3 linked regions of the Bombyx mori genome follow. Each later gene encodes a partner of the first gene's protein in a complex. Links are inferred from orthologs where the notes say so. Each region holds a gene or a part of one and is shown on either strand. Other genes may lie near its edges.

Region 1 (4,216 bases):
GATTTCATGGTTGATTTTACAGCTTGTGCTATTCTGGAAGTAACAAAGACAAAAAAACAAATAGAAAAATTCTATTCAAAACCCATATTTTAGTTTTTTGTATCAAACCAATGGACTGAGTTTTTCAATTTACCCTTGCCATTGTAAAACCAATGATAAGACATGTTGGCGAAGAACTGCTTCATTAAAATGTTCATTTTTTATTGCAATTTCAATTTTTTTCATCAGCGTTGGACCTGGAATAATTCATGTCATAATAAATCATATCATGTATAGCTTTTATCATTATATAACCCTTTAGTTATTCGTGAGTACTGAGTTAATTTCAATAGTAATAAACTCACAATTAACAGGTAAAGTTTGCATCCATTTGGAAATAAAATTACCATGTTCTATTTCAGATATAATACAAGGGTCTGTATTCGGTTTTTTATGTTTGGCTGATGAATCAAATTCTGGTAGTAAACTCCTGAAACTTATTAATATTTCTTCTGGATCCCTGAAATTGGTTTGCATTTGTATCTGAAACAAATAAAAAAAATATATATTGAATAAATGCCACCAATGAATTGAATTGAGAAGTTTGGTATATGTTAAAAAAAGATTAGCTTTAGAATCTATATACCTTTTAACTGCTGTAGATTGGCAGACCAAATTATAGACCATGTAATAGTGTGTACCCATTTGTTTGGTTACTTGCATAAATGGCACTACTTGAGACATGTTATTGTTTTGGTAATATTAGTTAATTATAAACTATTCCATGCTCTAAACAGGTTTAAAAAAGAACAGCAACAAAAAAACAGCAGTACAGATTCTACAGAATAATGTTAAACTAATACTAAATACCAGCTTGTTCGTTTATATTGTGAATATTAATAATGTGATTAATATAATAAAAAGTTCAAAAACTCACATTCACTCCGGTCAATGTACAGAATAACATTACTCTGAACACATTATTTGATAACATAGACTCCAAAACTCTCATAGGGATGTACTTTGCTTTACTTTCAATAACACTTGAGTTTGACTCCAGAATTGGGATAATGGGACTTATCTTTTTTAATAAATCTTGACTGGTATATAGATTTTCAGAAAACACACGTGCCCCTGCCTTTAGTATCCATGAAAAATGTGAGTGCAACAGTTTGAATATTTCTTTGTTTCCTGAAAACATTGATTACTGAGATGCGTGTAGTAAGCAGTGCAGGTTTTGTTTTGATAACAGATTTTACAAAATGTTTGTTTTAGAAAAAAAACTGAATAGTACCTACCTGTCAACTGAACAAGTGACCTTGACTGACCAAAATCATTTCTCCCTGTTCTTAACCTCAATGCCCTCTGTGAGCAAATTTTTTGTTCCTCATCAAAAACTGCAACAGCCAATTTTTGTAACTCTGCAGCTATGTTCTGAAAATATTATTGCAACAATGAAATAAGTGCACATTCATGGATCAAGCAGATAATCCATTCAAAGCAGTTGAGTTTTTTTTGGAATGGATTTTTTTTAAGAGTGTATGCAGTAAATGGTATCTTTTGCAGTCATTTTTGAGACTTCCTGATCACCTAGGAAAAAATGGTCTATGAATTTAGCTTGCTACGTTAATATCGCCATTAATGCACCTTGAAAAATGAGTTCTAAGTCCCAGTTTTTAATGTACAACAGCTGATTCACCCTTTAATTTGAAATGCATTACAGCTTTACAGCAGAAATAGGCACGATGTTAGTACCTGTCAATGTAGGCCCACAAAACGCCCTACCAGTAATAAAGCAATAAAAAAAAGAAAAAAAACTGCAAGTCTGCTTTTTGTATGGTGATATTCCTTCACTGCAGAAGTCATTCATGAACTTTTGTAAATTAGGTTTTTTATTTTTAAATGGGTATCTGTCAGTGGTATTTGAATACCAAGAGTCACATCATGAAGGACCGATCACATGGTAAAGATATTAAAAAATTGATTGTTTATTGTTAAAATAATAGATGTAATCAATTTTTCTTAGAATAATAAGAATTTAATATAACTTTCTTCTTTAGTGATTCACAAATATGTAGCACTTACAATAAACCTACTTTCATGTGTTCAGAGAGCATTGGAGTAATGTTCAAGAGCAACATCTTGTCTTTCATAAGCACCAGTATAGAGAACCATCGCTTGAGGCCTCTTGCTCGTGTATCGCACAGCTGGAATGTGAAGCTTAGCACATGACCTTGTGCTTCACTAAAATATACTATGCCACCATCCTTGCTCCAGTTTACCTAGTTATATAAATTTCATTAGATATCAATATTATAATAATAAAGAAATGGACGAGACCAATTAAAGTAAGATTGTATTACATTGTTAAGAAATTTATTTATGTACAAATATAGGTGATTATATTGTAATATATGATTCTGATACTAAGAGATAAGTTATTGAAAACGGTCGAAATATTTCTGCAGTAACAATTTAATGTAGGTAAATCCTATGAAATATACTTACTTCACAGGTAATACTTCGAATAGCAGCTTGTCTCAGAAATGACGTAACGTCGGCACTGGGTACAGATTCTCTGCTACAATATATGGTGCCATCGTCGTCTGTAGATTTTAAAACAGTTTCAGGACCTAACGAGGCACAGCCTGTACACTGAACACTTGCTTTGGAAGGTTCCGTAATGTGTTCGTCATTATCAGTTGTAAACGTGCAAAATAAAGATCGCGGTCCGTGTGCTTCACAGAAATGACAAAGGGTAAGGATAGCATTCATAATATTTATGGTAACTACAGCATTTATAATAATATCATGTACATATTGGATTAATTACGTTAAATTATAGAAGAGTTGTTGACATTTTTTTGACGGCAGGTGACATACAGCATTTTTTTTTACTTAAAATATTTTACGGTCTGATAGCGAGACTTTTAAGCCAAGTCTTATTTTTTCTCGTATTCTGTTATTTGAAAAGTTATTTACAGCAAAATGAGGTTAAGTGGATTCATTTGAGTCTTCAATAAATTGGGATGAAAGTTTTCCTTTTCTATGTATTATAAAAATAAAGTACAAATAGTAGTTTTTGATTTTATAACCTTAGCGATGACAACAATCGCGTCGTAAGGAACCTATTGCCGTCTGAAAGAAAGAAGAAAACATTGAATAAAATTAAAAAGAATTAAACAAATTTTAAACAATTAATGAGCTAACATTTTTACGACTAAGCTTGAACGTTAATTTAACAAATCCACGACACTTGGCTCAGGCGCTCCCAGCATAATATTCTTGCCTATTTCTGCCGTGAAGCAGTAATGCATTTCGGTTTGAAGGGTGGAGCAGCCGTTGTACTGTTACAACTAAGACCTTAGAACTCTTGTCTCAAGGTGAGTAGAAGCATCTACGTTGCTCCGGTAAGCTCGTCTACCCATCTAAGTAATAAAAAAAGCATAGATATTATATTATAAAATATAAAGATCTTATACAAGGAACTGGTATTTTGGCAAAATTTTATACGATTTATATTACATACTAGTTGGCTCGGCAGACTTCGTAGTACCTTAATCGATAAATAAAATACCTAAACTTTTGTATTAAATAAACTTAAAACAAACAAAAGGAATCCGTCCAACAGGGGACACATCAAAGGAAAACAAAATTGTCATTTAAATTTAATTTCGAGAATTTTCATATTTATCTACATTTTAAACCTTCTCTGGACTTGTAAAGATAATTCAAGACCAAAATTAGCCAAATCGGTCCAGCCGCTCTCGAGTTTTAGCGAGACTAACGAACAGCAATTCATTTTTATTTATATAGATACCTAATAGAAACTGGTAAACAGATTGCCCATCATTTAGATGCAGGTATACAACCCTGGTTTCCTGAAGCTACTACTACCTCTGTAGTAGTGTTACGGTCAACTATCTTCCTGCCCAATTCCCTTGTCTATTCTTAAGTACTAATGCTTGCTAGTCCACACTAGCGGATACCAATCTTGCGTATACCTCTCGCGAGGCAATGGTCTGTTTAATTGAGAAGGATAGGTTGATGATAGTCATACCTATTTTAATGTGAGGGCTGGCTTTGTATAATGTCTAAGAAACACCTATGATGATCCTTTGAGCCAAAAAGCTAGCCTAAATTGCACGAGCCACAAACGTTATTGCTTCTTTGTTCGCAGCTAACTTGAATTAAAATCGAAGTTGTTGGAACGCCTACCCCATGGCTAAGTTGTATT
Region 2 (4,329 bases), on another chromosome or scaffold:
TTCACGTGTTCCCTTCCCTTTAACGAAACCGGCTTGCTCTTGGGGATTTGCCAATCTAGGAAGTGGCGCAAGCGGGTGTTGAGAATGTACAGTAGAACTTTGCTGCAATGTGAGACAAGGGCTAGCGTGCGGTTATTGTCGCACTTCCTAGTTGACCCTTTTTTATGAAGCGGCAAAATGATCAACTCAGTCCAGTTATTGGGCCACTCGCCATGTTGCCATACGTAATTGCAGATGCTATGCACTGCATTCACACCCCTATCTCCCAGCGATTTAATTATTTCTGCCGTGATGTGATCCGGTCCTGGAGCTTTATTGCTCTTTAGTCGAGAGATGGCTTCTGTTACTTCTGATCGTATTATTGAAGGTTCTAAGGTTATGTCGTCCCAGACTGGGAGTTGTGTACTCATTGACTGAGGCTGATCATATAATCCTTCACAGTATTTACGCCACATTTCGACAACGGCATTTAAATCAGTGATAGGCTTGCCATTGGGATCTTCAATTATCCAGGATCTTGGTTTAAATTTCCGAGACAAAAGGCGAACTTTCTTGAACAAATAAGACGGTTGGTATTTTTGTGAATGTTTTTCGATATCAGTGTAAATGTCTCCAATGAAACAGCTTTTATCTCGGCGGCACGCTTTTTTAATTTCCTTGCAAAGGTCAGAATAAGTCTTCCTGACGTCATCATTCTGTAATCCCTTCACTTTGATGTCTTTCCTCTTGCTTATAAGCTTCTCTTGTTTGCTCCGAAATCCATACTTTGGTTTTTTTTCCGATTTGCATTTCCCTCTCTGCGGGAAGCCTTGATTTCTTCAAGGGATTCGCAGAGATGAGATTTTACGGTATCCCATTGAGTGTTAGCATCGCCTGTAGGAGGTTCTAGGGCTAGTTTTTTCTCCACGGCATCGCATAAGTATGTCCTTTCTTCCGGTTCCAGTGCACGTGGTCCTCTGATGGTTCTACTGCTGGCAGTTTTGTGTCGTAATGTAAATCTTTATGGTCAATTTTTAAAAAAACTACTACCAATTGAATAAGAACTGTCTGATGAATTCATCTTTGTTTAATACTTCACTATTAAATTTTATTGACTTTTGTTTATTTTACTTTTACACTAAACACTAAATATTGCAAATTACCCGAGCACAACAATGGCGGAGAATTTTAGATGCGTGAGAGCAGACGTAGACAGACGTAGACGCATGCACACTTAACCCAGGGAGAAAAAGTTACACTTTCTTTCCTGTACAGCAGGAGGAAAAGTTACACTTTCTTCCCTGTATAGCGGGACGAAAACCGAACTTTCGGCGTCGGTAGGAGAAAAAATTTATTTTCAATTATTTGTACCATTTCGCTATCGTAACACAAACACGGCTCAGTCTAACAAAAAACTTAGTTCTATACACGGCTTTATTTGCTTGTCCAACTAGACTTTAAAAAAATACATCTGTCAGTGCTGATGCTATGTCAAAAGTCAACAAAGAATCTTTTGTTTTGTTTCCAAAAGACAGTCGACAGTCGACTTTGACCGTGTTTTTTATAAATTAATATAAATTTGTTTAATAAAAATGGAAAACGATCTAGACAAAGTCGTAGAAGAAATCATGTCTATGCCTAATGTCAATGGCTGTCTTATCGCGGACCCACAAGGACTATGCTTGGCATCAAAAGGCGCCGCGCACGTAGACTCTGCAGGGATAATCGTTGCCATATCAGAACAGGCCTGTAAAATACAACCGAACATGAAACCGCCCACAGTTTGCCTTGAAACTGATAAAAAACAGTGCCTCATACAACGACATGGCACGATCACCGGAGCGATTTTTAAATTGAAAACATAGAAGGTACTTGTATATTTTATTTATTTATTGAAAATGTAATAATTGTTTATCATGATATGTATGAACGGCCTTGAACTTAAATGAACTCTTTGCTGTTACTTCACAACATAGTTTTCTATGGAACATGAAATTACTTGTAAGTTATGACATAAGTGAAATGTAATAACAATATTTTAATGTACAGGTAGCTAGCCCTACTATAACACGGTATTTTACAACACGATTCCACACTAACACGAAAAGATAAATTCCCCAAAACCTTATAATGAGATTTTTGTTATATAGAAAATTACATTACGCACTATGAACACACAAGTTATGGGAGTAACTGAAACTTTACTGCTTCATCATCATCATCATCATCAGCCCATCATCAGTCCACTGCTGGACATAGGCCTCTCCCAATCCACACCGAGGGTATTTTTTATTTTTATATAATATCATATATTATATAAAAACTTCTATTATTATTCTATTATTTTTTCTATTATTATTAATCTATACTAATATTATAAAGAGGAAAGATTTGTTTGTTTGTTTGTTTCGAATAGGCTCCGAAACTACTGGACCGATTTGAAAAATTCTTTTTCCATTAGAAGCCGACATTGTCCCTGATGAACATAGGCTACTTTTTTTTATTTTTTTTTATTTTTTTTTTTGGTTTCTGTGTGTTTTAATGTTTCCGAAGCGAAGCGAGGGCGGGTCGCTAGTAATGATTATAATGCAAGTTCTTGAAAATAAATCCATTCATGAAAAGAATAATAAGGATGAAGTCTCAAGATGGTGGGTGATAGCATTCACATACTCACATACATTATTCACACATACATTATTAGTAATTATTTAAGTTTCATTTACAGTTAAATAAAGTTTATTATTTGTTTTTCAGTAAAATAAAATTTAAAACAACATTGAACTATTCTGGTAAGCAAGCTATCCAGAAGATCGTGTATTATTCAGCCAAAAGTATGTTAACTTAACATCTCTCAGGAGGTTATGTCTAGTGATAGGAAATAAATTAAAATTATTATTTACTTTTAACTGACCCCCAAAATAACATAAATTTGAATACTTCTTTATCTAGATTTTAATTTCAAAATTTATCTAAAGTATTACCTACCAATCATAAAATGTAAAACCACATAAACATTGTATAATGTTATTTTAAAGAGAATAAATATTAACAGCTAAATTATTGTAATGGCTTACCACCATACTAAGTAAAAGTTTAACAATTATGATTAACATAATATTGTATTCCAAGTATAAGTTTTTCGTAACCACATAAATTCTCTAGTTTCTTCATGTAATAATAATAATGACTGGTTTTTTAATTTGCTTGTTTATTAGCTTTGCCTGTATGCATTGGAATCTTTGAACATTATTTCAACCCACCTCGAAACATTATATAATTGAAATTTAGCACACTTATAAAGGACCGCCCAGAATAATAGAATAATATAATAAGAGTATCCCATTGGACTGACCAGGATCTTCAGGATTATTCTCAAATAATATATAACATAGTATGTTTTTCTTTGGTTTTTGAGTTGTAAACATAATTTAAGTACTTTTACTGTTTAATCTTGCATTAATTATTTTTTGTTATAAGTTAAGTTGCTTTAGTTAACTAAATGATTGTTTAAATTAAAAACTTTCTTTTTCAGCTCGCTAAAAAATACTAAAAAGTAAAAAATATTTGTTAGATGTGGAAAGTTTGTTCTTATAGGATCATAATTTCGTTCTTATTTTAAAAGTTTTAATATAAAAATTAAGTTTAAGTAAGGAAAAGTATGGGGAGTGGTTCTACTGTAAGAAAATATTATTAATGATCATTTTGGTAGTTTTTCAATTACAGCACAAGAGCGCATTATGCAGCATAATGCTCAACGTTGAATGTTCCAACTACAGCAACGCTTCGCACAATCGAGCACTCTCAAAAGTACTGCTGATACTCGCAATCGGTACCAACTCAGTGACAGAATAAATTGACAAGTGTTTTTTCTTTAAGTTGGCATTGATCGAAATTTTGTTTATATTATCGTTAGTAATATTATTTAATGTTGAAAAAAAATGTAAGGCTTTCGTTTCGTCGTAGTTTCTTAGAAATAATCAATATTAAATAAAACTGTGCTAACTTAGCGCACTCTGCTGATGCATTTGAAAACTAATTGACTTTCCAATTAATCTTCAGCATAATTTGGCATTGTGCTTCACTGAGTCGCATTATGCTCTGTAATTGGAAAACTACCTATAACACTTATCATTTAGTTATGGACTATTTATTGTAAGATTTGATGTTAGGCACCCTACACTTTATTAACTTAAATGTTCCACAGGACAAACAGTTACTTAGACTGTGGATAGCCTTTTAAAAGACTATAGAAACGAAACAATTATTTTAATGTTAAGTATCTCTTGTTATTTTATATATGAGGTTTACAAATATTATAATATATGGTTTATGTGAAATGATTATTATTTT
Region 3 (4,254 bases), on another chromosome or scaffold:
ATACTCACGATACACAGGCCATGAAAAAGAACGCATATTGAGGCGAAAGAGATTTTTTATTCTTTTGTTATCATACCAAACTTGTAATTCAAGATATTGCAACATTCAATTGTGATGTTATTTAACACTTTATTGCTTCGCATTTATGAACACTTATTCTATTATAATTGGTTGACTATGCAAATAAATCTCTAGAAGTACAAAGGCAATAATTATTGTACCCAAAAATAAATTACGAAAATCCCACAACTTGTCAGTTCGATTCTGCCATTTTGGCAATAGACTTTAAAAATAATTTTTAATCTGTGTTCATTTACATTTGAATTTTTCGCTGTTTCCAAGTCAGTAATATTTATTAAAAAAAAAAAAGAATTGCTCGCTACTGACATTCTCATCTCATTTATTTTTTTGGGGATCCTCACGGATCACTTATCGGCATTTGTTTAATAAAATAAATAGTAAACATTAATAGACTTATGTGGGATTAGTATTCTATATAGATCCATATTCGTTGTATAATGAGCTAATTTTGAATTAAGCAACAGGCACAAATAGATTTTGTAACAGAATAATCATAGAATATAGGTAATCTGTGAACTTTCATGAAATTTCTGAAATTGGCCTAAAACCTTTTTTTTGGAGGGAACGCGAGGAGTGACGTTGTGTGAGTTGTTTTATTTTGTCAATTTAGTGTTTCTTCAGGTTTAAATGTGTAATAACCGTGGTTTATAAACTGTTTAGTATAACTGTGAAAGTGCACAAATGTGGGAAAATGAAACTAAGCCACTGAACGTAACTTCTCGGGATCCTCCAAAAAGTCCACTCAAAAATCTTAGTAAATGGCCACCATTTTACTGAGATTGTATTTCATCCCTTATCATCCCATCTCATTTCATTTCATGTTTCATATGAATGAACTTCATTTCATTTCACTTCATATTATCATTTTTCATACATAATAAAAATATATTTAAAATATAAAAGCTTAAGGCAGCGATTCCCAAAGTGGTCTATATCGACCCCTAGGGGTTATGTTATTTTATTTATAGTTTATTTTATGTTACGTATATTTTACATAACAGATACAAAATTTTATTTTGAGTAGTTTTAATTTAAATTCAATTAATAAATGTATAAATTAACATGGGTTTTATTTTAAGTTTTTAACACTAAACTTTACTACAGTTAGAAATTTACAGGAAATCAATATCAGGTAAGTAGGGGGTCTACCCAACACGGAAAAACATGGCAAGGGGTCTACGACACAAAAAAGTTTGGGGAACTCTGGTTTAAGGTATATACTAAGGTACCTTTGCCTGTCCAGTTGGAAAAACAAAATTAGTATTACTACTGGCGTAAAACCAATTTGTCAACTGTCAACATTAAAAAAATATAAACAAACCTTATTTTTTTCACAATTTAGTATTTGCTAGCTTTCCATATTTCTAAAACCAAAAAAGATTTTTCACTGTAAAAAATATGGTTGACGATCTTAGAAAATACTTGAATCATTTACTGGAAAAGTAAGAAAACTTTATAATTTACGTTTTTACTCTTTGGTTTTTCGTTTTATTATCTTACTTGCGACCCGCCCTAGCTTCGCTTCGGAAATTGTTATTTATTATTGATTTCTCCACTATTTAATGGATGTTATTATACACATAAACCTTCCTCTTCAATCACTCTATCTATTAAAAAAAACCGCATCAAAATCCGTTGCGTAGTTTTAAAGATTTAAGCATACATAGGGATATAGGGACAGAGAAAGTGACTTTGGAAAGTACGTACGGATGGATAAAAAAGAAAAACTATTGATGGCCTTAACTTTATTCTTTTTCAGAGTAAATGGCCTACATTGTATTTTGATTACCGATAGAGACGGTGTACCCCTTGTGAGGGCGGTAACTGAAAGAGCGCCTCCACTAGCTCTGCGTCCTAACTTCATATCCACGTTTGGAATGGCCACAGATCAGGCTAGCAAACTTGGGTTGGGTAGAAATAAAACCATTATATCAATGTATTCTAGTTATCAGGTTAGTTTTGAAAAAAATATACATTATTATTTTTAGTAAGTGATAAATATATAGTTATTGCGTGCTACCGAGTGCTACCAGGCAACCTCCGACGGAGAGCCAGCGCCAAACTATAAAAAAGATCCCTCGCTGCGCATTTGCCCTCTTTTTTGTGTGTAGCGTTCATGTACGTTTCTTGTTGAAACATGTTTTGGACTTGTGTAGTTTTTACAGTTTTCGTTAATGGTAGATTGAAATCATTTTGTTAGAAATTTTGTTTAATTCAGTGAAATATAATTAGACCAGTTCTGTGTAATTTATTTCTATTATATAAGAGGTTTAACTACCTCACTTCTGGTCAATTATAGAATTGTAGGGCTATAAAGCCTCCCTCATACATGGAGCTATTGTCGCTTATTGAGTGCTAGTTATTAGTAAATACATGATGTTGAAGAATGAGACTGCCCTGTTTGCCTGGAATGAGTATAATAAGTTAGTTAAATTTCTTTAGGTGGAATCATTGCTAACACAAGCTGTATAATAGCAAAGGAAGTCAAATCTGGGCACAATTTTGGGCTTCAGTCAATCAGTTATTATAAAAAATATCTAAATTTAAAATACATATTTAGAACCCTAAAATTATTGATAAATTATTTTAAATCGAAATATTGCAATCTTGAGCCATTCACAGTATAATAGTATTTCTAATATTTCTGTAATGTTCATGTTTAATAAAAATAATCATAATTTACAGGTGGTACAAATGAGCAAACTACCCCTAGTTATCACATTTATTGGAAGCGACAACTGCAACACTGGTCACATCTTATCATTAGAGAGTCAGATTGAACCGTTCTTGAAGGACTTGGAGGTGGTAGTTGCAGATGCACCTTGAATCAAACAAGCGAAACCAAAATATTTCTCATAAATTACTCATATAAACATGTTTTTAAAATATATCAAGGCTATTTGGTTTAAGCGACATTCATCTTTGTAATTAAAGGTACCTTTTAATTGGTATTAGCATCAAGACTTTGTTGAACTTTAATTAAATTTACTCCATTCTAATAGCAGAAGAAGTGTTTTTGTCTGATATATTTTTCCAAATTTTAAACATTTTGGCTCACCTGTAAAGTTTCAAAAATGTTGCTTAAACCAAATAGCCTTTTACAACTCTCTAAAATAGGTTTATTAAGGCTAATGTGGGATCGAAGTTACATATTTATTTTTCGGTGCTTTTATGAACTGTATATAGTAATATGAACATTGGCAATGCCTTGCGTTTTTTTACAATAATCTGTTTAGCTAAAGTATATTGATGTAAAATAAGTTATGTGGAACCCATCATAAAGTAATGCAAATCTGCAATTACATAGATTAAATGCAATATAAAAGTTTATCCAAAAACATTACATAATTGCATATATGAATATTATTCGAATGCTTTGAGTGCAAATACCTATAAAATTTGGTGTTGCCAGTGTCAGTTTTGAACTATAACATCTTCTTTTTTTAACTACCTACATTACTAACAATGATAGAAAAGTTTAAAAACTGAAATAATTTATATTAATAAGATGTATATAGAAGCAGGGTTGACTGCATATAGTTAGTAATGTGTACATATAAGGCAGATGACGTATTGGAATATGCAATGCAGCTTGATGCAGAGATGCAGTCCAATATTCCAGGTATTTGTTTAAAAAGTGCATTATATGATTCATTGATTTATGTATGGACATGTAGTGAATACGTCTGGTATGATATTTGCCTAAAATATATTTTTTCTCTAAAAATGTCAGTAGCTACTTTGATATATTACAACTAGTTTATGTGTATTATCTATTATCTATGGTTACAGTATCCCTAAATGTTTATTGGTGTTTAATGTATGTATATATAATTGAATTTTGGAATTGAAATTCTAAAATGCTATTTAAAGTGTCAAAACATATAAAGTTATAAAAAGGAAACTATTTACGTACCATTAAAAGTTAACTGTTTTAGTTCTTGTTTTCTTAATTTTGGGAATTACCTACTTGTATAGTTTTCTGAACGAATTTATCATTGAATTATTAAGTTATAAGAAGCAAACCTTTTAGCCAGATCAGAACTACTATCGTTCGGAAATTAAGGTTGGGGCAGCAACTTTAGGTATGATGGGATTCATTTATTTTCGTATCAGGAATCACCAGCAGTGCCACCTTCTCAATGACAAGTGTTCATTCTTGATAGTGATAAA

The links.
Region 2: folliculin (region 1) and ragulator complex protein LAMTOR5 share a complex: the UniProt entries of both Homo sapiens proteins name them as parts of the lysosomal folliculin complex. The link is inferred for Bombyx mori from reciprocal best matches to the Homo sapiens genes FLCN and LAMTOR5.
Region 3: folliculin (region 1) and ragulator complex protein LAMTOR3 homolog share a complex: the UniProt entries of both Homo sapiens proteins name them as parts of the lysosomal folliculin complex. The link is inferred for Bombyx mori from reciprocal best matches to the Homo sapiens genes FLCN and LAMTOR3.

What each region holds. Positions count from the first base shown.
Region 1 is NC_085117.1:9,050,377-9,054,592, forward strand, and holds the start of folliculin, read right to left. Parts: upstream 2,876-4,216; 5' UTR 2,755-2,875; coding exon 2,488-2,754; intron 2,262-2,487; coding exon 2,076-2,261; intron 1,414-2,075; coding exon 1,278-1,413; intron 1,171-1,277; coding exon 917-1,170; intron 523-916; coding exon 345-522; intron 237-344; coding exon 134-236; intron 34-133; coding exon 1-33. UniProt on the Homo sapiens protein: Multi-functional protein, involved in both the cellular response to amino acid availability and in the regulation of glycolysis.
Region 2 is NC_085110.1:1,232,973-1,237,301, forward strand, and holds ragulator complex protein LAMTOR5, read left to right. Parts: upstream 1-1,466; 5' UTR 1,467-1,571; coding exon 1,572-1,844; 3' UTR 1,845-1,847; intron 1,848-2,733; exon of another isoform or gene 2,734-3,194; 3' UTR 3,195-4,316; downstream 4,317-4,329. UniProt on the Homo sapiens protein: As part of the Ragulator complex it is involved in amino acid sensing and activation of mTORC1, a signaling complex promoting cell growth in response to growth factors, energy levels, and amino acids.
Region 3 is NC_085109.1:12,157,852-12,162,105, reverse strand, and holds ragulator complex protein LAMTOR3 homolog, read left to right. Parts: upstream 1-1,327; 5' UTR 1,328-1,479; coding exon 1,480-1,523; intron 1,524-1,840; coding exon 1,841-2,033; intron 2,034-2,766; coding exon 2,767-2,907; 3' UTR 2,908-4,018; downstream 4,019-4,254. UniProt on the Homo sapiens protein: As part of the Ragulator complex it is involved in amino acid sensing and activation of mTORC1, a signaling complex promoting cell growth in response to growth factors, energy levels, and amino acids.